4 linked regions of the Tamandua tetradactyla genome follow. The protein of the gene in region 4 interacts with the protein of the main gene of each other region in a pairwise test. Links are inferred from orthologs where the notes say so. Each region holds a gene or a part of one and is shown on either strand. Other genes may lie near its edges. The genes, in order: CCT3, UTP25, TTC12 and MIPOL1.

Evidence for each region.
Region 1: the proteins of MIPOL1 (region 4) and CCT3 interact in binary tests that used the Homo sapiens proteins (3 or more experiments, as listed by UniProt). The two-hybrid records come from large-scale screens. The link is inferred for Tamandua tetradactyla from reciprocal best matches to the Homo sapiens genes MIPOL1 and CCT3.
Region 2: the proteins of MIPOL1 (region 4) and UTP25 interact in binary tests that used the Homo sapiens proteins (3 or more experiments, as listed by UniProt). The link is inferred for Tamandua tetradactyla from reciprocal best matches to the Homo sapiens genes MIPOL1 and UTP25.
Region 3: the proteins of MIPOL1 (region 4) and TTC12 interact in binary tests that used the Homo sapiens proteins (3 or more experiments, as listed by UniProt). The two-hybrid records come from large-scale screens. The link is inferred for Tamandua tetradactyla from reciprocal best matches to the Homo sapiens genes MIPOL1 and TTC12.

The regions. Positions count from the first base shown.
Region 1 is NC_135330.1:9,339,632-9,347,069, forward strand, and holds the start of CCT3 (T-complex protein 1 subunit gamma), read right to left. Parts: upstream 3,012-7,438; 5' UTR 2,808-3,011; coding exon 2,777-2,807; intron 1,299-2,776; coding exon 1,237-1,298; intron 571-1,236; coding exon 520-570; intron 428-519; coding exon 365-427; intron 37-364; coding exon 1-36. Other genes in the region: TSACC (TSSK6-activating co-chaperone protein), read left to right, coding at 3,170-3,230, 6,268-6,327. UniProt on the Homo sapiens protein: Component of the chaperonin-containing T-complex (TRiC), a molecular chaperone complex that assists the folding of actin, tubulin and other proteins upon ATP hydrolysis.
Region 2 is NC_135330.1:67,905,652-67,912,622, reverse strand, and holds the start of UTP25 (U3 small nucleolar RNA-associated protein 25 homolog), read right to left. Parts: upstream 3,017-6,971; 5' UTR 2,924-3,016; coding exon 2,817-2,923; intron 2,097-2,816; coding exon 2,057-2,096; intron 1,304-2,056; coding exon 1,063-1,303; intron 1-1,062. UniProt on the Homo sapiens protein: Component of the ribosomal small subunit processome for the biogenesis of ribosomes, functions in pre-ribosomal RNA (pre-rRNA) processing. Essential for embryonic development in part through the regulation of p53 pathway.
Region 3 is NC_135334.1:27,791,744-27,799,563, forward strand, and holds the start of TTC12 (tetratricopeptide repeat protein 12), read right to left. Parts: upstream 3,007-7,820; 5' UTR 2,921-3,006; exon of another isoform or gene 2,729-2,920; intron 2,591-2,728; exon of another isoform or gene 2,381-2,590; intron 2,322-2,380; exon of another isoform or gene 2,139-2,321; intron 1,344-2,138; 5' UTR 1,329-1,343; coding exon 1,271-1,328; intron 1-1,270. UniProt on the Homo sapiens protein: Cytoplasmic protein that plays a role in the proper assembly of dynein arm complexes in motile cilia in both respiratory cells and sperm flagella.
Region 4 is NC_135340.1:16,267,834-16,274,910, forward strand, and holds the start of MIPOL1 (mirror-image polydactyly gene 1 protein), read right to left. Parts: upstream 3,001-7,077; 5' UTR 2,963-3,000; coding exon 2,956-2,962; intron 1-2,955.

The sequences.
Region 1 (7,438 bases), on a different chromosome or scaffold from region 4:
AATCATAGATTTGGCTGCTGGATGCTGCACTTGAATCTGGGGGAGAAGGAAAAAAAAAAAAAAAAGACTTAATACCACTCAAAGACTTCTAAACCCATTCTGCTTTGCCCTAACTTTTGAGCTTCTTGCTCTACACTTACTCTCTTTCCCTTTATTTCCTTACCACACCTTGAAAGACTAAAAAGAGTAATTCCACTTTCCCAATACTCTTACTTTTTGGGAAAAAATGCATTATGCCAACTCAGTTATTCGTTCCCAGAAGAGTAGCTTTTAGCTTATTTACTTGACAGACCACCTACATACATACTTCTTTATAGATATTATTATTTATAAAACTGTTTGAAAAGAAAATGAAAAGTCACACCTCACGAAGAATGGCATTGCCATCATTGGTCATCACAATGCCTCCCATTGGGTCCAAAAGCATCTAAGAAGCAAAAGTTATATTTGAGAGTCCCAGAAAACAGAAAGGGAAAATAAAATTCGTAGTCTGAGAACTTCAATAAGAGACAAGCCTACCTTCATCATGGACTTGGGTCCCAAACATGTTCTGATGATATCTGCAATAGTCTAATGGACAGAAAACATTGAAAAAAAAAAAAAGCACAAGTCTGAGGCCTGTGAGAGTGGTAGAAGGGGGCATGGGTAATATGCATAGCCACTGTTTTAATTTTAACAATGACACCTTTACTTTAGAGTAAGGTTGGTAACCACTACAGAGCATGCCCTGTGCCTAGCTCTCATCCCCTCAGGGAATGTTTTCAGAGTGGATGTAGAAAGAAACAACCTCACCAGAAAAAAGGGGAAAGGCCTCCTAGAAGTATCAGTCTTTCTTTCCATGACAGTGATTTCCATACCACCTTAAATCTGGTCTAGAGATACTTCATTCCTTCATTCAAAATATAATTACTGACTGCCCACACAGGACCTACAGTGGGCCCTAGGATATAGAAAGTAATTAATAGTAATTCCTTCCCCTCAAATAACTCAGTACAGTATGGGAGACAAATACGAATAGAATATTTAAAAACAACTACAGTAACAGAAATAGTTTTTATGTAAAAAAACTATTAGGCCTAATTCAGAGGGGAGGGCCCCCTTCCCTCTCCATCTCATCAGGGCAATGTCCTGAAAACAATTTTTCCTCTAACTGCACATGGGATTTATCACTATGAAGAAATAAAGAAATACTAAAAGGCAAACTACTACACTCTAAACACTTAAAAGATATGCTACCTTGGCAGCACTGATGTTCCCAGACTGAACTTTTCTTCCAGATTCACGCTTTGTGTTCTGGCCTGAGAGATAAAAAACAAAAAGGCAACAGCCCATAATGGCTCCACTGTACATAAGCCATTTATCCCCCAACCTCTGAAAGTAAAAATAAAGATACAGGTATACATAAAGGTCAAAACTTACTAATCAATTGTATCTCAAGAAGCAGTTAAAAATTCATACTTATGGCTATTTACCTCTTTATTTACTTTGATTTCTGATATACTAAGAAATAACCCCATAACACTTCAACTGTGGAATCTTGGTTATCACCTTCCCGCTATCCAAACATTCACATAATTCAAGTAGGGATTATTTGCAGACCTGAAAAAGACTTCACATATCACTATTCACCCCAGGACCCCCTCAATGGACATAAACCAAGGCAATGCCTCACCAAGTTACATATTCCCCTACAAGTTAATTTAACTCTATAAATCTTTCAATCCAGTCTCATCAAATTTAAACACCTGCAAACCCTCAAGGTTTACATTCCTATCTCAGGCAGTGGTAACTAAAAACCTGCATGGACCTACAAACCTTCAGAAAGAAAATAACTTTTTCAGGACAAAGTAAAATTTTTTGTAAAAAAAATCTTCTTAAAAGGTATTCCCTAGGTATAAAGAAAATGGATAAAAACTCTGAACAGCATTCTGTATAAACATGGCAGCGTAAGGGAAATGGTCAGACAGGCACCTTAGGTGTATAGAAGTTAAACACACAATGGAAATATACCTGGGGAAGACAATGGAGGTGCAGCCTGTAAATCAGAAAGAACTTAAGGATATTTCCAAAGAGTAAAGAGAACCACTCTAAAAGAGAAACTTGGAAAACAGCTGGTTAGAGGGAAAGATTACAAAGCAGCAGTCACAGAGGAAATGATTACACCTGAAGAAAAACCAGTGGGAGAAGAAAGGTTACTTCAGGAACAGGAATTACTGAATGAAAATTTAAAAGGAATCAATGGTAAGTGTCCAAGAATACCATTCACTATTTGCAAGATCCTTTTCTGAGCAGTTTGCCTACTTATTTAATCTCCACAATTTTACGAGGAAATACTATTAACCCCATTATACAGATCGAAACACAAACAACTTGCCCGAAGACACGCTAACAAGGGGTGAGCCAAGGAAATTAAGTTAGGCCTAATGAAAAAAAAACAAAACACATTATTCTTTCATTATTACACCACACTGAAAACCCCGCAAGAGGACTACGACAGGGCGCAGGGGCCTGGGGCGAGGAACCGGACCGAGTGGCAAGGAGCCTCCCGATATGAATACAAGGAAAGGCAGGAGGATCGGCGAAGAAAAGCATCAGTTTGCGTCTGTGTAGAGGGGAGAATGGGTTAAGAAAAAGGAGGAAAGCGGACTTCCTAAACGAGCCCGATGACTAGGAGAGTCGGTGGCCGGGCCAGGGCGGGACCTACTGAGGCAACACTGAGAAGAGTACCGGGATGGAAGCGAAAAAGAGGCCCTTCCCCGGATTCCCCAGAACTCACTGAGCACGAGCACGGGACGATGGCCCATCATGGCGACGTGATACAAAGCCGGGTACCCACAGCTGGGGAGGCGGCAGAACCTTCTAGAGAAAGAAAACCAAGCAAAAGCCCAGAAAACGGTGTCTCCTCCGGGCTTACACCTAAACCCGCTACTCTCCCAGCCGCCGCCAATCACCGCACGTAGCTCATTAACCGACAAGAAAACAGGCCAATGGACATCGTTAGTCCCGCCTCCCACGCAAGAACGGCAGGGCAAGCTAGATAGAGAGAGCGCGAAGATGGAAATGGTAGGGCACCGGCGCTTGCGCAATAGGGTGGCCGATCCTGACCGCGTGCAGCGCGAACTTCAGCGCAAGCGCCAAGGCTCAGGCAGTTGGCCACACCCTACTGCGCATGCGCATCAGCTACATTGAGGGGCGGGCGCTGGGGTTGAGGCTTTGGATTAACGCCGCAGGTGAGGTTTTTAAAGTGTCTTGAGCCTCAGTGCTTTTCGGAGTTCAAGGAAAGTGTGACAGTTTCCAGTGTTTTGTTCCGGCTTTAGCAACGAGAAGGAATAGAAGGTCTGAATTTCAACTGGCCGTTTAGGAAAGACCTGGTCGGTTTGGTGCGGGAGATGATGGGAGTTGTAGTTTTAGCGGGCTGAGCGCACCGAGCCTTTCCCCAGGCACCCTGGGAGTTGTGGCTCATCGATTTTGGACTCGCATGACTATGTGCGAAACTTTCCCTTCTTAGGCCCGTGTTTACTAAACCTGTAGCGGTAGATGGTTTGCGTTTTTTTTTTTTTAGTTCGTTTATCAGAAACCTTTGCTCAAATATTCTGTCTAGTTTCTGTTTCCTGTTATCCTTGTTGTCACTTGCAATTTATTCCCCCTGAAATGTCCTTTTTGTTTTCTCTATCCTGTGCCCGTCAGGAGTGTCATTGTCATTGTCTACTCCCATTCTCGCTTCTTCTGGTACCCTTTATTTCCCTCTCTGCATTTTTAAAATTTCTTTGGGAGTGAAGCCTATGGCCTGTTCACCTGAGGAAATCACACAAAGCTTTTCAATATAATGAAAATGTCTTCAGTTCCAATTATGAACTATTCTTAGCTCCCGAGGTAGTGTATAAATGTGTTGCTGGTGTTAAAAATAATAACAAATCCATATTATGAAAGACCCTTCCAATATCAAAAATTTAAAATTGCCATAGCCCAAACAACCCCAATGAGAGGTATGGAAAGATCAAAGGTGGTGGTGAAATTATACATAGACGATAGGACTTAACAAATGAATATGAATGCTGAATCATTAAATTGATATCTCTTTTAGTCTCTAATATTTTAGAGAGGCTAGAAGTAAAAACCTAAAATTGTGAAATTGTAATTCATGTCAAAGTCTGAAATAGGTTCTATAACTCGTTTTGGTGCTGTGCTTGGAAATTTATAGCTTTTTTAATATATGTTATTGTTCACAAAAAAGAAGGAAAAAAAGTCAGTTGTGATGATAAAAACGTATTTAAGCTCTCTAGCCCCCTATATTCTGGAGCAGCTAGAAGGGAAAATATGAGAGGATGGTGTTGTGGCTCATGACGAACTCTGGGATCTATCCTGTAACCACTTTTTGAAGAGTGCTACTATTGCTTTTTTATTTCTTTGCTTTGTATATATGTTATACTATACAATAAAAAAAGTTTTAAAAGAAAAAAAAAATTCTGTCTAGTGCTTTGAGGTTCTCTTTCCGCATGGCAGCCCTGCACCCCCACCATGCACTCAGTTGCTGATCCCTTAGAGATTTTGATGGGGAGCCAGATATTTAAAATTGCTGTGCAGGACAGGAAAAGGGATGATACTGCAGAAATTAAACATGAAGAGAATACCCTGTTAAACCAGAGAGAAATTGGGGCTGCTTTCTGTCGGGATTTTGTAACCCGTTCTTGTTGATTTTTAAATTTATTTTGTTTATTAAACATACAAACATAAACATTCTTACCATATGATCATTCCATTTTACATATATGATCAGTAATTCACAATATCATCACATAGTTATATATGCATCATCGTGATCATTTCTTCAAACATTTGTGTCAATTCAGAAAAAGAAATGAAAACAAAAAAATTCATACATACCATACCCCTTACCCCTCCCTTTCATTGATCACTAGCATTTCAATCTACTAAATTTTTATTTTAACATTTCTTCCCCCTATTATCTGTTTATTTTTAATCCATATTATCTGTTTATTTATAAGGTATGTTTTATCTACCTTATATGTGTATAAGGTAGATAAAAGAAGCATCAGACACAAGACTTACACCATCAGACAGTCACATAGCAAAAGCTCTATCATTATACAATCATCTTCAAGAAACATGGCTACTGAACACAGCTCTACAGTTTCAGGCACTTCCCTCCAGCCTCTCCATTACACCTTAACTAAGAAGGTGATATCTATTTAATGTGTAAGAATAACCTCCAGGATAACCTCTCCACTCTGTTTGGAATCTCTCAGCCACTAACACTCCATTTTGTCTCATTTCTGTCTTCCCCCTTTCCATGGAGAAGGTTTTCTCAATCCCTTGGTGCTGAGTCTCAGCTCATTCTGGGATTTCTGTCCTACGTTGCCAGGAAAGTCCACACCGCTGGGAGTCATGACCTATGTAGAGAGGGGGAGGTCAGTGAGTTTCCATGTCATGTTGGCTGAGAGAGAGAGCCACATCTGAGCAACAATAGATGTCTCCTTGGGGGTGAGTCTTAGGCCTATTTTTTTTGTTTTTTTTTTAACATGGGCAGGCACCGGGAATCGAACCCAGGTCTCTGGCATGGCAGGCAAGAACTCTACCTGCTAAGCCACCATGGCCTGTCCAGGCCTAATTTTAAGTAGGCTTAGCCTATCCTTTGGGGGTTTAAGTTTCACATGAACAAACCCCAAGACTGGGGACTCAGCCTATTGCTTTGGTTGTTCCCACTGCTTGTGAGAACATCAGGAATTCTCCACTTGGGAAAGTTGAATTTCCCCCCCTTCTCACCATCCCCCCAAGGGAACTTTGCAAATACTTTTTTATTCACTGTTCAAATCACTCTGGGATTTATCGGGGCATCACTCTGGACAAGCCTACAAAATCTCATGCCCTACTCAAGGTTCCATGCACTTATGGTATTCATTTAAGCTAGTTGTGACCCATTCTTAGGAAACTTAAATTTGTAAGTTTAAATAAGTTGGTTAAATTACTATTTTGTCCAGAAGAAAGGAAGCAATAATAATAGAAACAGTAGTAATAGAACGGTAGATTGCTGATAAATAACTTATATTTGGCCATGAAATAGAGCACACCCTTTCCTCTCCAAATTAAAACAGCTTGAAACTTGCTCAAGACAGCTTATGAAGTTGTCAATAGTAAAAATAATAGCATGTATTTAAAATATGTATATTTTTATTGAGAAATCTCCATGCACATACAGTCTATACAGTCAAGAGTTGTTGATTATGTGATGCTGTGATTCTTTCCCAGGTGCCACACCTGTTGGTGTCCAGATGGAGCAGCACACTAGTCGTCCTACTAGCAGAAGAGGTGTGTGTCAGAGACCTTGTTTCCCCTCCCTTAAACGCCAGACCTCCCCAATTCCTCAGCCTATGGGAAAATGATTCTAGTTGTATATATGCTTTTCCCTTTTACTTGGTTAATTGGAAAGCAGGTGTGTTTGTTCTGCATTCCCCACTAAATGGGAACATTGCTGTATTCCCAATGCCTAGAACTGGATCTCTTATATGGTAGATGTTCAATAATTATTAGGTAAATTTCTATCTCCCCTTATAATAAGATGTTATGAACAGGGCTCCATTAAGACAAGGTGTTGACTAGAGTGAATAGATAATAAGTTTGAGTGGGACAATCCCAGTGGTGGCCAGGAGAATGTCTTAGGCCGTCTGACTCCAGAGCCTACCCACTTAACTGTAGGAGGTTAGCTTCCTGTAACAGAGACACCCACTCTGCCCTCCTTGAACATAGATTTAATTAGTTCTTTTCACAGAGTATATAGTGCAGTGGTAAAGAGCATAATTGGCATCTGCAGGCCCAACGTTAATTCCAGCGCTGCCATGTAATCATTGTGGAATCATGAGCAGATTTCCTGTTTCCTGAAATAAAATGGGGATTAGTGATCTCACAGGGCTGTTGTGGGAAATACATAAGATAAGGTATGTAAAGGACTTTTCATTGTTTTCTCCATCCTGACTTCTTTGCGGCTCCCCAACCTAATCTTCTGTTGTACATTGTCTAATGAGAAATACCATTCCTTTAGTATAGGCTGTGAGTAAAAGATTCTTCAAACCTTATAATCCAGTAGATAGCACGTCCTTATACACACAGGGTGGGCTCAAATAATTTAACGGTGCACTTGCATGGAAATTAACAAATTTTCAAGTGGTGAATTGAGAGATGAATTTCAGCTTCTATCTCTATACCACTCTACATGAACCATCAAATGACTGATGCCTCTGGAGCACGTGGAAGGAGAAGGTGGGTGACCTACCGTAGGCCTTGGAAAATCCCCAAACCCAGTAAAAAGGAAAAAATATATATATGTTCCCTCACCAAGAATAGCTGACAGGGAACATGACAGACTTTAGTTTTCTAAAGCTCGATGACTTTCCGGCCTGAAAGCATCTCAGCCTGGCCCCCA
Region 2 (6,971 bases), on a different chromosome or scaffold from region 4:
TCCCAGTAACACTGATCAGTTAAAATACTGAGAATAGTACCTGACATCTTAAAAAAACCCTACAAGGCTATAAGGAAAATAGGCATTAAGATAGTGATGCCTATTTTAGTGATAAAAAGTCACACAGCTATATTTAGACAATGGTATATTACTCCAGCAATATAAATGAATAAACTAATACATGAACAGCATGATGAATTGCAAAAGCATGCTGAACAAAAGAAGCCAGATACAAAAGGGTATATACCGTATGAGTTCATGTATATGATATTCTAGAACAGGCAAAACTAATCTATAGTAACAGAAAGCGAATCAGTGGTCACCTAATGTGGGGGGGGGGGGGTGACAGCAAAAGAACAAGGAAAAATTTTTTGGAAGTAATGGAAATGTTCTACATCTTGGTTTTGGTGGTACTACCACAGATGTATACATTGTCAAAACTCATCAAACTTGAAATGGGTGTGTTTTATTTTATGTAAATTAGACCTCAATTAAGCTGATTATATATTAAAGAAAAAAGTTACCTGTAAGTCTAGATAAGAAAGAGTTCCTTTGCGCTTTAAATCCCAGCTCTTCCCTGAAGCATTCCCTAATTTACCATAGCAGCGTGTGACTACTCTGCCTCTATCTCTTCAACACTTTGTATGTAGCTGTTTCATACAAATCTGCTGCTTGAAAACATTTGTATATTTTTATGTTTATATTCCACTAAACTTTCCCTAAGGGAGGAACAACAACCTCTTCAACACAGTGAGATCATCACAATGACAAGCTATGTTCTCCTTCCTCTATATCAGTGGGGTTGGGGGGGTGGCAGTGCTTTCAGTAGGATCGACAAAGTACCTGAAATCATAAGCAAAAATGTTTTTTCTCCATTTTTCTGCTGAGAGGGTCTTGTATTTGCACAAAATTCTCAAAGACATCACTGAACCCAACAAGGTTTATGAATCTCTGCTATAGATCCCTGTGCTCTCACCCAGCTCACACAGGACAGGGCCCTGTGTCCAGGGAGCAATCTGTCTGTGGTTCCGGCAAAGGTGAGCCCACACCAAAGACACCTACTCTCATGCCTTTCAGTAGACACTGCTGCAGTCTCTTCTTCCACACTGACATCATCATCATCGTCATCATCACCCTCACTGTTTATTTCTGCTTCATCTGCAACACTGTCTTCTTCTTCCTCTTCATCCTCGTCTTCCTCAGAAACATTCTTCAATGTGGCAAGTAGTTTGTGGTACCCTGAAACTTGCTCTGGTTCGCTCTCGGCTTCACTTTCAGAACCTGAAGTATCTGAACTTTCTGACTAAAAGGGAAAATGGAAGTTTTCAAATAAAAAGCTATATTGTTCTCATCATATCTTATGTCTATGGCCAGGCCAAAAGTGTAACAGGTTCAGACTTTCCTAACTAAAAATTAGTTTTTCTGCAAATATTATGCAACCCTATTTATTCAACCAAGCCCAGCACCAAATGTATTTAAAATGGCTAATCTAGCTATGATTCTGGAGGCTTTTTATCTTCTTCAAACTGTTAATGCCCCACGTGGGAAGAAAACTAACTTTTAAGACATAGAGCTTTAAGTTATAATGAGATTTAATTTATATCCTAGACATGACAGAATATACATTTAAAGGAACCACAGGAGAAATTATAACCCAAAAAAAAAAAAACCAACAAAAAACTACAATACAAGAAACAATCTTTCAGTTTGTTGTAATGAGATAGTAACTCTACTCATTTTGCTACTTGTGGCTCATTTTATGCAGGGCAAACCATTTGCCCCTTATGATTCACTAAGAGTCTTCTAGTAGGTCCCCTTAACTGGTCCTATTTAATAGGCTTAAGTCTCTAAGAACAGTTTCAAACTCTGGCTTTCATATTTGTTACCACAATGGTAATTACAGGCATCTGCACAAAACTAAGCACTACTACTAAAATAATAACTTAGACCTAAAATCGAAAAGAGTAGAAACGTGGTAAAACTTTATTATCATATGTAATCCCCAAAGTAACAATTAGAAAGCACAATTATAAAGAAGGCATAAAGAAAGCATTACCAGTTGACAGATCTGTGGTTTTGCTTCCTTTCTGGAAACCCTGAGAAGAAACAGGTAATGTTAAATACTACTAGTATGTAATAACTAAATAAAAGTCTGGTACATTAAAATGCAAAAGAGACTAAATTAGTGTAAATTCATTGTAACCATAGGATACGACCAATAGAGAGTAACTGACAAGTCACGCACTTACTTATGACAAATGAAAAGTCACATAGAAACTGGATGTATCCACATCCAAAAGAAGGACACAATTTGGCAAATAAAAGGCCTCGGGGTTCATCTTTTCTCTAGAAAAATCCTCAATTAGAAGAGCTCACCAATGGCTAATAAGGCAGCTCAGACTGGTGGGATGGGCACCAAGGTCACAGCCGTGAAGTATGGACACCAACCGAGGAACACACAATTACCTGTCAGATAACATCAGTCTCTTCACTGTAACTGGATAGATTACAATGATGTCGAAGGTCACAAGCAATTTTATAAACACGCACGCACACACACACAAACAACCTTAGAAGATCTCATGGTCAGATCTCTTACCATACAAAATCCAGCCCACACAGGTAGACATGCCGTCTAGCGTGAAGTTACCAGTTCAACAAAGGTAGAAAGACAACTGAAGAACCCCATTTCCCAGCTGAAAGCCGCGAGAATCATCGCTAGTCGAGGACCTGTGGGACCCGACTACGAAGAGAAACTCCGGTTCCCACCGGGAAAGACACTGGCACCACTGGTTCCTGCCCCGCCCCCTCCGGACCTGTCATAGAAGGGATGTTCCTCGCCGAAATCCCGAAGATGTTTCTTCTGCTTTTTAGTCAGGGTGCTGAGCAGTTGGCTCTGGCTCCGGCTCCCGCGTTTGCCCATACTGAAAACGCCAGATATGCCCACCTTCAAGAATCGTTGTATTTCCCGGCAAGTTGCTCAGACAACCCAACCACGTGTGCCCGCCGACAGCGCTTTACGGCGGAAGCAGGATGCAAGAAAGCAGATCCGCTTTACGACGCGTTTTCACGCCAGACGCTAGAACTTCCTGGTCCCGATTCTGCCCTCTAGCGAGGCTCCTTGGAAGTGCACGCTGGCACATTTACTTACAGATCCCTGAACTTGGCAGATCGGTCTTGGAACTTTCCCTGTGGGTGGGAGAGTACTTGTGGTTAGGTTTTGGTTATGGTAATCACCTACAGAAATGCGTAGGCGTGGATATGGTTGCATGCCGTGACTTTATATTACACTATGATAAAAATATCAACCATCAGGCACGGATGCCTGACGCATCTCACTTTATCCTCACAACTGTACAGAAGTAGGTCCTGTGATAAGCCTGATATTGCAGATGGGAAAACTGGTGTCTGGAAAAGGTATACTCTAGCAAAAGAGGAGATGGAAATCCAAGTTTGATGGGCCATATGCTTTTAGCTACTAAGCGCCACCACCTTGCGTGTGTTATATCAGGAATGGGGTCACACGGTTGAGATTCCTGACCCCCACACCACTCCCGCCATTCCTAAAAGTATTAGAAGAACCCTAGAAAACAAATCCGAACCTACATCCCTCGTTTTACAGGTGCAGCAAAGACAAGCAAAGGAACTTTCCAAAAATCATCCCGAGAGTCAATGTTGGAGAAGGCAGTAGAATTCAATCCAATGGCTTGGGTAAAGAGTGGAGAAACTTTTCAGTATGAAGGGACTAATGGATATACATCTTGATCATGGCGGTGGTTACACCGTGTAACCAAAACTGATCCAACTGAACACTTAAAATTGGTGAATTTTATATATGTAAAAAACCTAAGCAAGTAAAAAAAAAGAAAAACTGGACTCAGTAGCCCAGGGATATGCAGATCTCAGGATAAACATAGTGAGAAACTTTTCCTAAACGTATAATATCATGTTCTATAAAAGCAAAGTACAAATTCACAGACTGCAAAATTCAGCAGAATATTTAAGGTAAAACAGGAGGCATTAAAGAGAGTGTTCACTGGACTCCGTTATATAGGGGTATGTCTATGGAAAAATTTGAGCTTTGCCCAATACCATTTTACACCTATGGGAAGTTGTAATAAAACTATTAGCACCCTATTTTGTCAGTGCTGGTAGCCATCTACTCCTAATTAGACTCTGAGAGGCTGAGGTGGAGAAGGCAACGACAGGGAGGAGAAAATATGCAAACAGAGCTGATGGTGACCAGCAGCTGGCCCAATCAAGAACCCATAAACGGACATCTGTCTTCTGTCCAATTTGAAGATAAATGGTACAGTCACTTATGTCAACAAAACGCTGTTTGCAAAATGTCGTCATATATTTTAAGGTGCTAACCACAGTAAACCTGGCCATAACAATAAAGAGCCATGCTTTTTTTCCTCCTCCAACCATATCCCAGTGCCCAGCTTCTCTCCCCAGAGGCAACCAGTTTCCTGGTATTCTTCCAGTGTTTTCTATAAAAAGCTATGCTCTTGAGCACTTGCGGTGATTTCTGAGTCATTCTTTGTTTCCACATTCTGGCAGTTCTGTGTGAAGATCTAGACCATTCTCAGATTCGGGCAAAAATGTGCTCTAGCCCCACCCAAACTGTCTCATCATTGGCTCACAGGGCAGGGAAAGAGGAGACTGTCTTTTGAAAATATTTATAATAGCCTTTGAAAAAATAAAAGTAGGCTTTTTTAGAACTTTTAACCTGAAAGCCCCAAATTTAAGCATTTTCCCAGTGAAAGTTCTCTTAGGGAAACCCATACAAAGATGTACATACCAACAAGTGAAGGCCCTAGGAAAGTTGTAATAAAGGCAAAAATTTTTCTATCCTTTCTTCTTCCCACTCTTGGCCCTTCCTTTCCCCTCCTCCAAAGTTGTTTCTTATCTCTGCCCTCAAATACTCAGTAGTTTTCGAGAGGTAAAGGCAGTCTAGGAAATAATCTTTTATATTCGTTCATAAAGAAATGTTAATGAATTAATAAGTTACTTTTTCCCAGGGCACTTGCAATTTAGAAGAGACTCGATTCTCAAAGGGTGGAGACAGATACCCCTCCCTTAGGACAAGAATATCAGAATATCCAGGAAGGTGTTATAACCAAAAAACAAAACCAAAATTTTTTTTATAGAAAAGTTCAAACATATACAAAAGTAGACAGGATGAAAAAATGAACTCCCATGTACCCATTACTCAGCTTCAATGATTATCAACTCAAGGAGACTTCATTTCATGTAAATGTCCACTCACTGCTTTATTATTATTTTTTTATTATGCTCTTGCCCCCACTCTGCATTCTTTCTGAAGCACGTCCCTAACATCATATTATTTTATCTGTAGATATTTTAGTATGCATTTCTAAAAGTAAAGGTTATTTTCAAATATAACCACAATACCATTATTTCACCTAAAAATATTGGTTAATGTCATCATGTATCTATCTGATCAATTTTCAAATTTCTAAATCGTCTCTTGTCATAATTATTTTACACTTCATTGTTTTAATATATTCCTCTTTTATATTTCCTGTGAATTGGTAGTTGGATCTACAGTGTTAATCAAGACTATAATTTATGTGATATTTTATGCTTCCATCAGAAGGCACACAATGTCTGGTTGCCTTTCTTTTTATGATACTAGCACCCACTGATGCTAAATGTCTGAAACTGTTCATTCAGTAGGGATTGCCATTATGGGGCTGTTCTATCATTTCTTCGTACCTAGTTGCTGGACTACTTCTAGGAAGATAAACTTCTCCCTCACCTAAGATGGCTACCCAAGGGGACAATTTTATGAAAAAAAGCAGAGTAAATACTTGATTATTTCCCTTCACTTAGCAATTTTCAACATAAGTTGATTGACTATATCGTCTAACAGTGATGGACCAAGTTTTCGCATTTATTTTTGTTTTTATTATTTTTATGAACTCACGAAGGTATACAAATTTGACGTGTTTATAATCCCTTGCAACTACGATGATATATATGGTTTGAAAGAGCTTTTTTTGATATATAGCTGTATCTTTGAAAGACAAACAAACCACTTTCTAATGCAAACCACAGAAAGTTAGCAGAGCTCTAGCTGATATTCTCAATAGAACCAGGGGGAAGTACACAAGAGGGTACATATAAGATACTTGGGATGTTTCAGACAAGAAAGTGTATCACAAGGGCACATGGGTTCAGAAGATGTTGAGAAGGAGCAACATGAAATCCAAAAGTTTGAATCTCTAATGATGAAGTTTCATACAGCTCTACTTCTGGCTCAGGTTGCTTCTGGGAAAAGATGTGTGTGTGTGTGTGTGTGTATGTGTTGTGTGTGTGTTGTGTGTGTGTGTGCTCAGGAGTGTGGGAGTCAGGCTCTCCTTGGAGACCCTTAAATCATATAGACAGTTTCCTACATACAGGACCAGCTCCTGCACCACATATGCACACACATGTCTCTACCCACATCTGAAGTAATCAGGCCTCTCCCTGAGAGCATTGGCAGAAATCAGTCTCTCATTACCCTTATAATATAATGAACTCATTCATTCATTCAAAAAATAATTTACCGAAGACTTACAATGTGCCAGGCACCATGGTAGTAGCTGAGACTAAGAAAAAGGATACGACCCATCCCCAGCCTTCTCCAGGCGTTCACAGTCATGTCAGGAGACAGATAAGTACACAGATGACAATCACAGTGCTTTGCGAGAAACGGTGAACTGAGAAATGCTGAATGCTAAGGAAGCAGCCAGCACAGGGGTCTTCCCAGCCTGGAGCGATCTGCTCTGCGCTGCCATTCGGCATCTGTCCATCAGTCACATTCATTGAACACTAATGTTCAACTCAGAATTGATCTAGGTTCCAGAATTTAGGTTGCATGAGCTGTTACTGCTGACTTCATGACCAGCTTGTGTGTGTATTCAAGACAGGAGATGAAGAATATAGAAAGAGCTGCATAGTCA
Region 3 (7,820 bases), on a different chromosome or scaffold from region 4:
TCTGGGCCAGATGTGCATTTTACCTACTTTACACGATGGGGAATGTAAGCCTGGAGGCAGAAGAAACAATTAAGGGGTTGTTGAAATAGTCTGGGTGAGAAGAACCAGAGCCAAGGGAGAGGTGGAGAGGAAGAGTTGGAGGAAGCAGCAAAACTCGAGGGCTGACTGGATACAGGGCTGGAGGGTGGTGCCACCCAGAGATGAGGAGAAGCAGGCCTCATTTGGGAGGGAAGGCTGAGGTGGGGAAGAGGGGGGTGATGATGAATTCCATTTCGGATACATTACGTTTGAGGTGTTAATGGGGTGAAGTGGATATAACCGTTGACCATAAAACTGAGGCTCAGAAAAGAAGTAAAGCTAGTGATGTAGACACAGGGATTATCAGAAAACAGGGGCTACTTAATATCATCTCCTTGGACTAGATCACCTGAAAAGAAAGGTGAGCAGGGGGCCAAGGCTGGAGCCCCCACAGAAGAGCAATATTTAAAGATGAGCAGGGGAGAGGACCAGGATGTGTCATTTATGAAGATATCCAAACTATTTTTTTTAGCCATTTTATTCTTTGGACCTATACAATCTTCTGGAGGTAGCAACGTCAACACATTTCTATTTGCTATGTTAGGTTTGTTTGTTTGCTACAAGCTCCCTGATGTTTGGCCAGGGGCTGCCTGGTTTGGAATCTCTTGTGCCTAACTGTGGGATCAGATGATGTTCTGTGAGACGCCACCTATCTGAGCCGGGCAAAGGGTCTTCTTATCCAGAGGAAGAGAGAGGGGATGACAGCCCTGTGCCACCCATGTACCTTGATGGATGCTGAGGAAAAGCCATTTGATATTTGCCTCTGCAGGTAAAATGGAGCTGGCTCTACCCTGAAACGGGAAAGATCCCAGACTGATCAACAGGAACCTTGAGTGCTCTCCTCGAAGGGAACAGCCAGAGCTCATTGACAACAGGGAAACAGAAGGTCAACAGCAACTGTTTGACCCGGTTCCACACAGAGGGGACAAAATAGAGAGGAGAGCTGTGAGCCTGAATTCCAATAAGAATGTTAACAAGTTTTCTGATACCAATTAATGCTGCCAGAAAGTACTGCCCCAGGCTATAACGTTGTTCTCAATATGCTTTCTATTAGTTCTAATTTACATTTTTCCTTAAAAGTCATTAAACTTGTCAGGTAACCCAGCAACTAACTTAGAGTGATGATCTCTTTTTATTCACTCCTACCCCTCTAAAGCAGAATTTAATTGGTTTATGATTTACTGGTACTTACTGATTTCATCCACATTTTTAAGAAATTTTTGCAAGTCTTTCTCTTGATCCTCAGCCATTGTAGATCAGAATCCCTGAGGGAGGCAGCATAAACGATGAAAATTAATAAGAAAACACTAAACAGAATTCGTCAAGCTCATTAGCCTTCTAAAACTAAGAGCCAAGTGATAATTTTTAAGATGGATTTCTTTTTACAAACGCAATGAATAACAGCATGCTGACTGCTGTTTACCGCCAAGGATAGTTATTATCTGTGGAGCTATTTCTGGAAAGCTGCCAGCCCTCTCTCCACTGGGGAAATGTCCCTGAAGAAACGACTCCCCAAAACCAGCATCGGTTGCTGTGACCCGGGGTCCTGGTGTGGAGGCTGGGGTGAGAGCCCCTGACCCAGTGCCAGGGAGAGAGAAGGATGCCATCACCTAACTTCCACCCTGACAGACCCCTCCCTGCAGTTGTAAGAAGCTTTGCCCTGGCCTTCTGACAAATGGAGACTGGTTGCAATTTGCATCTTGATGTTCGTACTTGTTTAAAATGTAAGCCTTTGGCTTGTTTCTGGGGAGTGAAGAGAAGCTACAATTTCACTGAAGGGATGAGAGCTAATTTCTTCTCTCCAGTTAGGTGCCTTTAGATTTATTAACTCAGTGTTGCTTCTGAGTGAAATCACACCATGTATGCAGTGGTTCCCAAAGGTTCATCCACAGACCATAACTATCACCTGGAAACTTGTTACATATATAGATTTTTTAGTCTTAGCCCAGATTCTCAATCAGTAAGGCTGGAATAGTTGACAGCAAGGTGGAGTTTTAGACATACTTCTAGTGGGTCTAATTCTCTGGTAGGTTTGGGACCCAGTACTAACGGTAACACACCTATAACTGGAAATCAGAAATCTGCCAGGCTTTCATTTCTGCCAGGAACAAGATGTGAGCACTTTCACCTCTGAGTCTGTGTCCTTATTTTCACCGATTTCCAGCTCTGTGGCCTTGGCTAAAGTCACAACCTCTGAGCCTTAGGCTTCAGGGACAACAAATCTCGAGGACTGAAGGGCTGACCTGGGGATTAACGTAAAGCACCAGTCACACAATGAGTGGCAAATGTGAGGCACCCTCACCTATAAAACAGGAGGTGGGGATGTACGTGTTCGTTGCATGATCAATAAAGCTCTTTTCAGCCCAAACATTTGCAATTCCCACGGAACCAAGGCCAAGGGAGGAACATCCATGAGCAGGAACCGACCCCTCTGCACCAAGGGCAGGGATCTACGGCCGCAAAATGCCAGCACGTGCAACGAACGCCAAGGGAAGAGGGTTAGCGTAGTACGGCACAGGAAGTGCCCGGGGCTTCACTCCGTAGGGGACTGGGACCTGCATGGCCGCGCGCGGGACCGGCGACACGCACGTCCGGCGCCGACGACGCGCACGCTCAGTCGCCCGCTCACGGCCCGGCGCCGAGGGGCGGAGCCGATGCCACTGTTGCCCCGGCAACCGCTCCACCGCGTCCACCGGCCCCTGTGCCCGCGATGGGGTCCCAGCCCGCGGAAGATACCGTCCCATCTGCTGGGAACCAAACCAGCGTCTTTTTCTCGGACCCCATGACGCCAGTCTAGGGCCAGTTCCTGGGGAAGACCCCGCAGCCACCGCGGTGCACTGACCTGAAACGCCCAGAGTCGGACAGGAAATGGCGGCGGGGGCCGGACGGTGACTGGCCCCGGCCCTGGAGGAAAGGGGCGGGGTCCAGGGATGGAGGGGGCGGGGCCATGGGCAGCGGGGCGGGGCGTGAGTTCGCGCTTGGTTTCGCCGCGAATTCCAAGGCCGGGTAAGGGACTGGGGTACCCGACGAAGTCGCTGGGAAGGGGAAGCAGCAAAGAAGTTCGGAGGGACCCGTGCTGGTCTCTAGAGCAGTGCCAAGTTTTCGCCTTCTGTTCTTCTAAAGGTGGGGGAAGGGTCTTGCTCGAACAGTTTAGTAGCTCTGGCTCAAAAGGCTGAAATTCTCCGGGGTTCTCTGGAGTGGCTTGTATGAATCCCGGTTTTATAGATTGATAAAGGTGGGCCTTGGGAGTGAGTTGTAACCAATTTGATGCTCGGTTTTCTCATCTATTAAATGAAGAAATGACACTTTCCTGTAAGGTTCAAGTCCCTGGCACCCAAGACAGTAGGAATAAGTGGCAGTTAGTATCCAGGGAATCACTGCAGGATTCAGAGCAGAATGAGACAATGGACACGTTCATTCACACTCTGAATACATGCACACACCCTTAAACAGACGCCTGTCTGTTTAAAAAAGAAAAAAAAATCAGTGGTTAAGTGGTGGGTTACCACGCATGTTTGGGCGGTAGTCCCATCTTGAGCTTAAACTGTTGTTTAGAAACATCTGGGCCTTCTTGGCGAACTTGTGGGTGTTTTATAGAAATCTGGCTAGTAGGGTGGAAGAGGCAGCCCCTGGGGACAGGACTTACGAGAGAAGAGGGGTCCAGGCAGGCTGCTAGATCCAACGCTGAGTCTGGGTATGGCCAGGTGACTGTCTTAAGGCAGACCCCAGAGGATGCATGGCCAAGCCCCACAGAGAGCAGAGGACCCATCTGATTGAAATGTCCAGAAGGCATCGGTACAAAATGTTATTAACTATTGTAGCAACTATTGTGATTAGTGTGCCTTGGAGCAGTGCTTCTGCACTTTTTGCAATATCTGAGGATCTTGTTAAAATGTGGGTTCTGGTTCAGTAGTCCTGGGGGCAAGATTCCTCAGTGACAGCTGTCTTTGGGCTGTGGACGACACTGGGTAGCAATGCACAGACACGTTATTAGAGGCTGGGGATGTAGTAGAGCAAGCTGGTCCCAAGGCGCCAGATTCAAGGAGGTAAAGGTCAATGAACAAACCATCATTTAAATTTTCACTGGGATAAGCGCCAAAAGAAGGAAAGGGTGAAAAGCAAAAGTAGCAAAGGGTGCTGTGAATGACTAGTCTGCAAATCTTGGAAATAATGTTCTCTGAGGAAGTGATGTTTAAGCCAAGACTATCTTTTCTTGGGGGGGTTGGGGGGGTGCATGGTATGAGAATCAAACCCAGGTCTCCCGCATTGAAGAGACTGTCTTTTTAAAGTTACTGTTAGGTTGGGTTATCCATCACTCCCAGGCAAAATTAATGGTAATTCATAGGGGAAGCAAGCATTCATTCCACTAATATTACTTTTAAAGGTGGACATCTAAATGCTTTCATCATAACTCTAAATAGTCCCAAATGTTAGAATACTAGCATACTACAGTCTTGATATTTTTAAATAAAGCACATTGATTTTTAAAAATTTATTTATTAATTAAAAAATTAAACCAAATAAAACATCAACATATATAATCAGTAATTCACAATATCATCACTTAGTAAGCACATTGATTTAAGGACTCTAAACATCAGAACAATTTGATATTGAGGTCATTCAACTGAAAGGCACATGAATGATATATTTTCTTTATAGCTAGGAATTATATAATTCCTGTTCTCAAAATCATATTTCCATTTTATATACCTCCCCAAATAATATCTCAATGGAGGGTATTTTTATGCTTGAACTCCTTTCATTGTTTGTCCCATCATATTTCTCTGCCACAGAAGTATTGATAAACAGTCTTTGGTAGCTTCCTTTGACCAGATACCACACTAAGAGCTATGGGCACAGCCTCTGTCCTCAAGGAGCACACAGCCGTCCAGGTCCAACAAAGAAGACAGATGCCTAAACAGATTATGAGAACTGTTGATAAGTGCAGTGATGGTCTAGTGCCTAAGGGGGTGGGGAGAGGAAGTGGTATAGCCAAGGTCCCATAGGAATAGGAATTGAAGTGCTGATATAGGAATTGGGGTGTGTGGAGCTATACAGACAGAGGGAAAGGATGAGCAAAGGTTGGGAGGCAAAAAACATTTTCTGTTTCTAAGAAAACAGAAAAATGTAAGGTGAGAGTGATGAGGGAGGAGCCTAGGGAGATAGGTAGGGACAGGACATCAAGGTAGAAACCCATTAAGTAAGAAAGTGACAAAGTCAGCAATGCAGGCGGGAGATGCTGAGTTACCTGGGGCAGGAGGGATGTGGGAAGGACATAAAGGTGGAAGCAGGTGCTTTGGGGACTATAGTTACTTAGGCTTCAGAAGAAGCTTCCACCTCAGTGATCCCGCATATAACTTCGCTGAGCCTAGCCTTTGCTCCCAAACTCCAGCCCTCTAAATCCAATGGGATAAGTAGTCTTTGAGTTTCTCGGGAGTAGGGATATTGTTTTACTTTGTCTTGGCATGCCCAGCACCTGGCGCTTATTGGAACTAAGTAAAGATTTGTTGAATAAGAAGTGAGTTAATCTCTTGTTCTGCTTGCAGGAAGACTCAATTCTAAATTATTCTAGATGGGAAAGTAATAGGGGTATTTATAGTCTCTGCCTCCGGCTTTCCAGAGAGCAAGCATTGTTGCGGTCACAAAATAATTTTTAGGGTAGCGCTCACACTAGACAGACTGATGGCTTTAAACTCTCAGAAGACCTAGTAAGCTCTGGATAGTCAATCCTTGGGTTGTCCACAAAACCTAAAGGTTACAGTTTTCCTCCTTTCCAGCACACAGTAAGGTCTCACTTTCTTACCTTTTGAAGCTAGGTATGATCAGGTGACTTGCTAGGAAGAAGTGAAGTGGACAGATGCCTTTTAAAGGCAGCATGTGACTCACCCTATGTACCCCTTCCCTCTACCCTAGCAGCGGAAGGCAGATGCTCTTTTAGCCCGAGTCCCTGATGACACATCAGGTGGGGAACAAGAGCCCTTTCTTGTTATGATCCACAAAGACCTGGGCTTGTTTGTAACCACAGCGGGACATGATCCATCACGTGATCTTCACTTGCAACAGTGACAAGGGCTGGGGATCCTGGCACAGGCTTATGTAGCTCATGACGGTTGCGATTTACATTGTGTCAGTGTCACGGCTTTCTCATGCATTTTCAAGCATGTAGAGAGAAACGGCTTTTTAAAAGCAGGGACTTGCATTTCAAATATATACCACTTCGGGAACCTTTAGGAATCACACTTTCACAACTGCTACTGCTGCCGACCTAAGTCCCTTGTGTGCTGCTTAAGCTTTTCTTTTTCTTTATGTCTTCAGTAAAAACTGGAGACTATTTGATCACCTTCCACTGTATAGTAAATCTGAGACTTGGAGATTGTTGTAAGCCAGTTTTCTTCTCTTTTACTCTCTATCATTTATTTGTATATACAATCCTAGCTCTTTGCCTTTCCTCTCTAATCATACTTTTTAAATTTAAGAGAGATCAAGAAGGATAAAACCTTTTTTCTGAGGGCAGATGCATGAGGAATAAAGGGGTCCTATCTTTGCCTGCTGGAAGTAAAGGATGTAGAGAAGGTGGGTCTGGAGCCCTTTGGATAAAACCCCCCCCTGGATGCTGGGGCTGCAACTCATTTTATAGCTTTGGCTTTAAGACTTAGAGCAGGAAGCTGAAGGACTTTAGCAGTCTCTCCATCCCTAAAGAAACCCCCCAAATCATGTTTGATCCTCCCACCCCCAATATATGTCCTTTCACTTAAGAACAAAACAAGAAAGAAAAAGCTGAAATTTCACCTCTTGTACTCCCCAACTCTTCTTGTTCTTTCAATTCCCACTTTACTATAGATGAAGGAGTAATTTCAGGATCCAGTCACAGATCTAGTCTGTGGGTCCATTAGAGGCAAACATCTTTCTTGAGATTCCTGTGCTGAATTAATGACACTGTGGTTAATGTCAAAAAAACTGAGAATAACTGACCCTCACCGAGCCACTGCCACCGAGGCAGGCCCTCTGCTCAATCTTTTATTGTCTGGGGTAGATTGAGCTGTGTTCTTAGTTTTAATCCATTCCCCTGGCTGTGAACCCATTGTAAATAGGACCACTTGAAGTTGTCATTTTTAGTTAAGGTATGGTCTTAATCTTATTACTGGAAATTTAGAGAGAAAGCTATGGAAGAAGCAGGAAGTTGGAAGTCACAGAACATGAAAGAGAAAGGAAAGGACCTCATCTATGATGGGAAAGCCAAGGAACCTGAGGATTTTCAGCCAGCCAAAACTCGGTCAGCCCCAGGAGGAAGCGAACCTCCCAGGCTCTAAAACTGTGAACCCATAAATTCCTGCTTTTAAGGCACCAATTTTGTGGCATTTGTTATAGCAGCTGGTAAACTAAGACACATGTATTATTTAACCTGCATTTTCAGCAGCCTTCACGACGTTCTCATTACCGTTTCACAGAGAAGAAAATACCATCAGGAAAGTTAAGTGTGTTGCCAGAGGCTGAGCTGAGGTGTGAACCCGGGGCTGTGCGGTCCCCCACCCCCAGCCCACCCTGCCTCAGGTCGCTGTCCTGTCTCCCGTGTGTCATCACTCCTCCCACGGGAGCTCTGCTTTGAACTCCTACAGTCCTCAGCAAGGACCTCCTTGGTCCTGTGGCTGGATAGCCCCTCATAGGCTGGTCTGAGCCTCCAAAGGCAATGGATATGTCCTTCCTGTAGCCAGAGGGGCATATCCATTAAGAAGGGAGGG
Region 4 (7,077 bases):
AAAACTTAATCACTTCAAAAAATATGATTTCCCAAATTTTGCTGTTATTCTAGTGCTATCATGCTATCACTGCCATGCAAACTCATCCTGTGACCATTTGAAAATGACACTATAAAAGTCTAACTACCAAGAGTTCCTCTAAAACACTACCTACCGCTATTACTAGAAACAGTTTGCCACCTAGGCAAACCAGGTAGTCTAAGTAAAAAAATTTTTTAATCTTAATATTAAATACATGTTCCTAGGCCAGCTGCATTATATGTTTTGAAGACCCTCTATCTTTCTGTGACCTTCAGGCTGTTCCACTGGATCATTTTCATGATCTAATGAATTCTCCTTATTTCTGTAGGTATCAGTGTGGCCAGCTATCTCAATGCCAGCGTTGCTGTTACACTCTCAATTCCATAGTCTACAAAATTAGCAGTATTAAGATACCACGTCCTATCACAGGAAAGAAAGCTTTGGGTTGGTCTTTGAGTTCAATTTTCCAGACAATTATATATTAATGTAAAATATACTGAGTTAAATGGATAATCCCCAAGAAATCTGACTCTGGGCCAAAAATGACTGTTATTTCCTTTTTCAACTATTATACAGATGAGGAGAGGGCTACAATCAAATAGGATTCTTAGAAGCAGGGAAATTCTGTTCTGCCGGGCTTCGTAAATAGTTTCTGACAACTGGTATCTGTGTAAATGGATTTGATGGTCCCCTGGGGGTTCAATACTGTTGACAGAGCTGTTTCTTCAGAGTGGTTGAGCAAGAATTATCTCTAGGGATCCTACTGGGGTTACTCTGAATAGCAACACCCCAGCTACCTGAGAGCTCAGGGACAGAAAAGAGAAAGGAGCAAAGAAGTACTGTAGGCAAGTACATTCACACCAGTGGATCTCCTATCTTCTTAAGATGCACGTGCTACTTCAGAGTATATCTAAAATGAATTATACTAAAGGCAATGTATTAATGTTTCCCACACTTGCTAACACAATTGGTCATCACTTCTTTAAAGTTTTCATCCTTTATGGCTTTGCATCTGATCATATAATTAATTAAAAAGAGCAAAAGCCTCATGTTTAGCACATCTTTCTTTTCTATAATGTCTGTCACGCTATATTTGGATATAAATGACATGCTTTCTGCTACTAAAGCAGGAATATAAATTAGTAGAATAGTTTCACATTTTAAACGAAATATACTTTTTCAATGGTTAAGGATTTATTTATGAACATTAGTTTCAAAGTAATAAAAACATTATCAACTAGCCTCTAAATAACTTCTACCAATTCTTTAAGTAAATGTAGGTTCATTCTCTATCTCCCCCTCCGTACATGTATATGTGTATAAATACAATTTATTTCCTACTACTTATTTCCTTCTTTTGTCGGGGAAAAGGTTAGTTTTCCACATAGATAAATTTAATATGTTTTTCAGCCCAAAGATAAAAGAAAAACATCAGAATCTTCAGTCATATGACTTACTAAGGTTTACAAGAGAAAAGTTTAAAATTTCCAAAGAAAACACTGGTTTGTTTAGACTTTCCAGAGTGTATGGATGACTTCTGAAGCCATACTGCAGGGCTTGAATTTTGGTTCTACCACTTAGCTGTATGCCCTTTAGCAAATTATTTAACCTTTCATGAATTTCCCTATCTACAAGATGTGCTATTACCTACACCTCAAAAGGTAGTAATGAGGATTAAGATATTTTAAATTATATAAATCTCTAGGAAAAATGTCAACATAGAAGGCACACTCAATTAATGTTAGCTGCTAGCTGTTATAATCTGCTTTAAGATTAAAGCTTGTTTCACTATTTTGATTTCACCTTCCTGAGAGATCACAAATATCACCATCTTGAGATCACAAACTTTCAATTCAAATGCATATTAATTAATCTCTTGATTTAAAGGTATATCTTTAATTAATCTCTCTAGTATTTAGAATAAAATCAAAAAAAGACATCTATTATACTAATAGGGCATTACCTTAGTTTTCATAACTAAAAATTTCTCAATTTCCTACATAAATTTAGTTGATGATCTATGGCCATCACAGCTATCCTTATCTGGCAAGTTATTATGTTTACATTTATTGTTTTTACCCCCAAAAGTTATCAACTATGTGGGAAAATTCTTCAGAAGCATTAATGTATATAAAACTTTCTTGTTAAAATATCAGGAGACACAGGTTGGAAAATAAAATGCTATCTAATTCAATTCTTCAAAGAAAATTCCATCCCATAGAAAGAAAATGGGAAATTTCAACAGCAAATTTCTGTAACATAATTTGAGTACTCACTATACTGGCAAATGACATTGGATAGAATTAGGTACTTAACACAGGCACTTATCCTTCAGAGAATCTAATTTAGGGGTCATAGGAAAATAGGCAACTTTGGACCTTTGACTTTAAAAATGCAGACTTGTTACCTGGATACTGTATACTAATTCAGGGATTTTATTATTTGTGTTTCAGCTTGAATAGCCATTAAAAAAAATGTAACAGTCACTTTTATTGGTCTGCACACACATTACTCTCTATCTCAACTTAAAAAAACTTTTACATGTACTTTTGGTTGTCTCCACATAAAGTAAAAATAAAACTGTTAAGAGAATAATTTATCTTTGTCTATTTTTTAATCTGATTGCCAATTTAATTCTGAATGCGTCTTAACTGGATGCACCGGAGAAAAAGAATTACATAGATATGGTCTATACAATTTATGGCCTTCTCAACTATATTTGGTCCTTTTTTTTAGACTGTAAGCTTCCTATACTCATTAAAAGCACATTTTAAAAAACTGTAGCTATCTTAGAACTTCTATTCACTGAAAAGAAATGGATCAATAAGAGGAAATATTGATGCAAGTCACTAATACAATTTTAAAGCTTCTAGCAACCACATTAAAAAGTAACTAGAGGGCCATGCGATGGTGGCTCAGGGGCAGAATTCTCACCTGCCATGCCGGAGACCTAGGTTCCATTCCCAGTGCCTGCCCATGCAGAAGAAAAAAAAAGTAACTAGAACAAGTTAAATTATATTTATTTAACCCAATATATAAAAAATACTATCATTTCAACATGTAATCAATTATTATTGATAAACTTTACATTCTTGTTTATACTACACTTACAGTATATCTTAATATGGACTAGACACATTTCAAGGGCCTAAGAGCCTCACGTGGCTACTGAATCAGAAAGCACACAGGTTCACAGATTATTATTTAGTTATAATAAGGTGCATTATATTTACATATAATGTATACTATAGATATATAAAGGGGAAGCAGAAAGCATTTGAGAGGTAGAGGCTAGCTGTAGCTATTAAATTTTGATATAAGATTTCATAAAGTCAATAAATCTCCCACTGAATACAAAACTATGGAAACTGTCAATATCAATAATTCATTTATTTGGGTACTAGAGTTACACATTCAAAATAAACTGAACCCCTTATACTCTTACATGGTTGTATCTCTAGATAACATATATGTCAAAAAGAATTGGTGGTCATTTTATCTTTGATCATAATAATTCAATGCTGTAGTATACAATGTTTCTAATTATCATGGAAAATTACTTTATTGACATTTTGGTTTTTATTATAAAAAGCTATTTAAAGTGGTGGTATTACAACAATGTTTTTTAAGTTTCTGTTGTTTCATCAAGTCTCAAATAGTCATGAACTCATTCATTCTATTAAGGAAAAATTTAGATTCTGTGTAAAACTACTCAAAGTATATAAGCATTTGTGCAATTATATATTAATGTTTAAGCTTTTCCAACATCCTTCCTCATATGAAGGCCATAGATACAATATAACAGTAATCTACAGCTTAGGCTACCTATTAACTGATAAATATTTCACATAAACTAAGGTTTTTAAAAACATATTGCCCTGCATAAAGGATTCCAAATATTATTTAGGCTAAAATGATTGTGAAAACTATCTTAAAATTGATCAACTATCATAACCAATTTTTATTCTTTTTTTTCTCCCAGTGATACAAGCTATTTGGCTAATTTGAACTCTTTCAACCTTTCTAAAATATTCTCATCATAGGAATAATTTATGAGACAACTGAAAACATGAATGAACAGAGCAAGTCGTAACTTTCTACAACTGCAAGCAAAATAAGTTTAATAACTATATTATTTAACTATAAACACATACCAATTATGATTTCACAAATTCACAATAATTTCACAAATCATTTATGGATGGAACTTCCCCAATAATAACTATAAAGGAAAATAACAGATTTTATTCATACATGCCTCTCATTTTATTTAAGAACATCTTTACAATCCTTACACTTTGAAAACATCAAAATAGAAGAATCACCAGTCAGATACTAAGTGGGAATCACTGAAACACAGTGTTAGTTCTAATGGATGGATGATTGTGTTTGGTCTTTTGAAACTTTGAAGTATAGGTAAGTCTTGATCACACAAATTAATAAATCCTAAAGCTGAAGTTAACAATAACCATTACACCCAAATTCTACAGCTTAGCCCAGCCAATTTTTCAAAAGGTCAGGTTGTGAACTGGAGAAGATCAGGGAGGTCCACTGCATAGCTTTGTTGCCAGGCATTTCTCGTCTGGATTGTTGCAGGCATTTATTAGTATTCGTCAGCAGACTCAACAAAGCAAACAAGAAATTCAAGCACGAATAATAAAATGAAATGCTGCTATATAACCCTTTGTCATTCAGCAAATATGGGACTTTTTAGCTACATTGTTCCTAAACCTGGGTTACTACTTTAATTTTTCTCCACAGTGCTGACTGAATGAGTATGCATGTGTGTTAAATGCAGAGCTCCCCTAACAACTGCAGGACTGCCATTTAATCTGTTGGTAGATGGACCATTTCCTGTGGGAACCCTAGCTATGATTTCCAGATCCACCAAATAAATCTCAGATTAAGATTCCAAATGAAACCTGCCTTTGGCAGATAAAAAATGTCAAGATGGATATAAACAGTAAAATTATAAACTGTCTAGGTGATGCATGACAAACCAGTGTTCATTTTTTTTTACTGACATGTGCCCAGATACCAAAACTATATGAGACATTCATCAAATGTCACACTTTCATAATATTGGAAGCATCATTAAAACTGTTTGACTAAGGACCTAAAAGTGTTTAAGCAGTAGCTCAAAAGTATATTTGTGCAAAGTAGAAGAATAAATTTACATATCAGCAGCAACTCATAAGGGATGGGTAAATATTCTGTTTATCTCTTATTGTAATTCAGGTTACTTTAAATACAAGATTTTAGGAAATCATTATACTCTATATGGCATCATTACATAACTTTCTATGCAAATGGCATGTTTTATTCAAATGCACCATTTTTCCCGGCAAAAAGAAAATAAAAACAAAAACAAACCAAAGGCATAAAAGGAAAAGCTGGGGGATCCCATTTCATTAATCAACTGTGCCTTGTTAATCAGTGATACTATAGCCTCACCAACCCATGTTATAGTCGGCATTTTAAACTGTAAGCAAAAACATTAAATATTTGAGACATAAAAGCGTGAAAAGAGTAAAATTTTTAACGGATTCATTTCAAATGACTTGGAGGAGGGGAAGAGATTCTTCAACAAGAAAAAAGTAATAAAGGTTCAATATAGAACATCATAGAGAGCAAATGGCCTATTAAAAATGCAGAGGAAGTCTCTGGTGCTAGTGTCTACTGCATTCTCAGGAGATCGAGACGCGTTGTTGTTGTTTTCTATTTTTTTTTTTTAATGAAAATTTTTGTTTTATCTTTGTTCATCTTTCCTGGACTAATAAGCCCTGGTCTTAGCTCTTAGGTTAATTTAAAATTGCAGGCAATGAAGGTTTCTGAAAGGAAACAAACATTTACTGAACTGTAAATAACACCTTTTTTTTTTTAACTTTAAACTCTTAAAAGCTATTAACTAGGCTTCCAGTGACTCCAAATTTTGGAACATTTGGTTTCTTTATAATTTTGAAACTGTTCTCCTTTAAATGGGAATTTTTTCAAGTTATAAAATCTTTACACTTACATTAAACTGTGGAAAAGACACAGAAGAGCTTATACTCAATATTCCAAATCTTAGAATTTGTATACAAACCTGACCCTTTATTCTGTCTTTCCTATCACAGTTACTCTAAAACATGTTGGTTCAAGGAAACTAATGATAAGCCCTTACCTATACTAACCTATTAATCTAAAAATTTTGAAAACAGGGCGGAAAAAGGATGTTAATTAGGAAAGAAATAAAGATATCTTGGGCTTAACTTTGACCATATTTCTGTATGAAAAAAATGCTTAAATCAATGAACACACCATGCTAGTTAACTTTAGAATACAGTGAATTACTGTAGGTATAGCCAGCAGTACCATATTAAAAAGCAGCATTTAATTGTTAATTTTTATATATGTAACAATTTGCAAAACTTACTCAGTTCCTATGCAACAAGTATATTTTATCAATATGAACCAATCAGTTCTAACTTCTAATCCACTAGCATCCTAATTTCAAAGTAGCAAAAGTTCACAATGTATGAAAACTAGATAATAAAAAAGGTGAAATTAGAAAAATAATAATGAAAGGTAAATTGTTTAAAATTGTTTTTTTAACCCTACATCTTACAAGCATAATTTTACCATCTGGCAAAGGAAATTTTACCCAAAAGCTACAGATCAGACTTTTTTTAATTCAGTCACTTAGACTATCAACTAATCTATAAAACCAATTTCAAAAATTTGAAGGCAGTTTTAAGTTTGCTGTTTATACTCCCAAGGAAAAATCATATGAAAAAGGAAAACACAAATTACATCTGAAACTTCTCCCCAAAAGATAAAGTGCCCTCCACAACAGGTTGTTTTGATTCTAAAAATCTAAAAGTTGGAGTATTTGGTGACCCTCTCAAGTTTTTTATTCAACTACTACAGACCAATTTATAAACAAAAAGTAGTGAGTGGACATATGCTAAAATATTTTTTGCCACTTACGAAAAAAAGTATAAATTCAAGAAGTCACATCAGTCCTACTATACAAACAGCCAATCAACTTGGACCATTTCTGTAAACAGCCTTAAA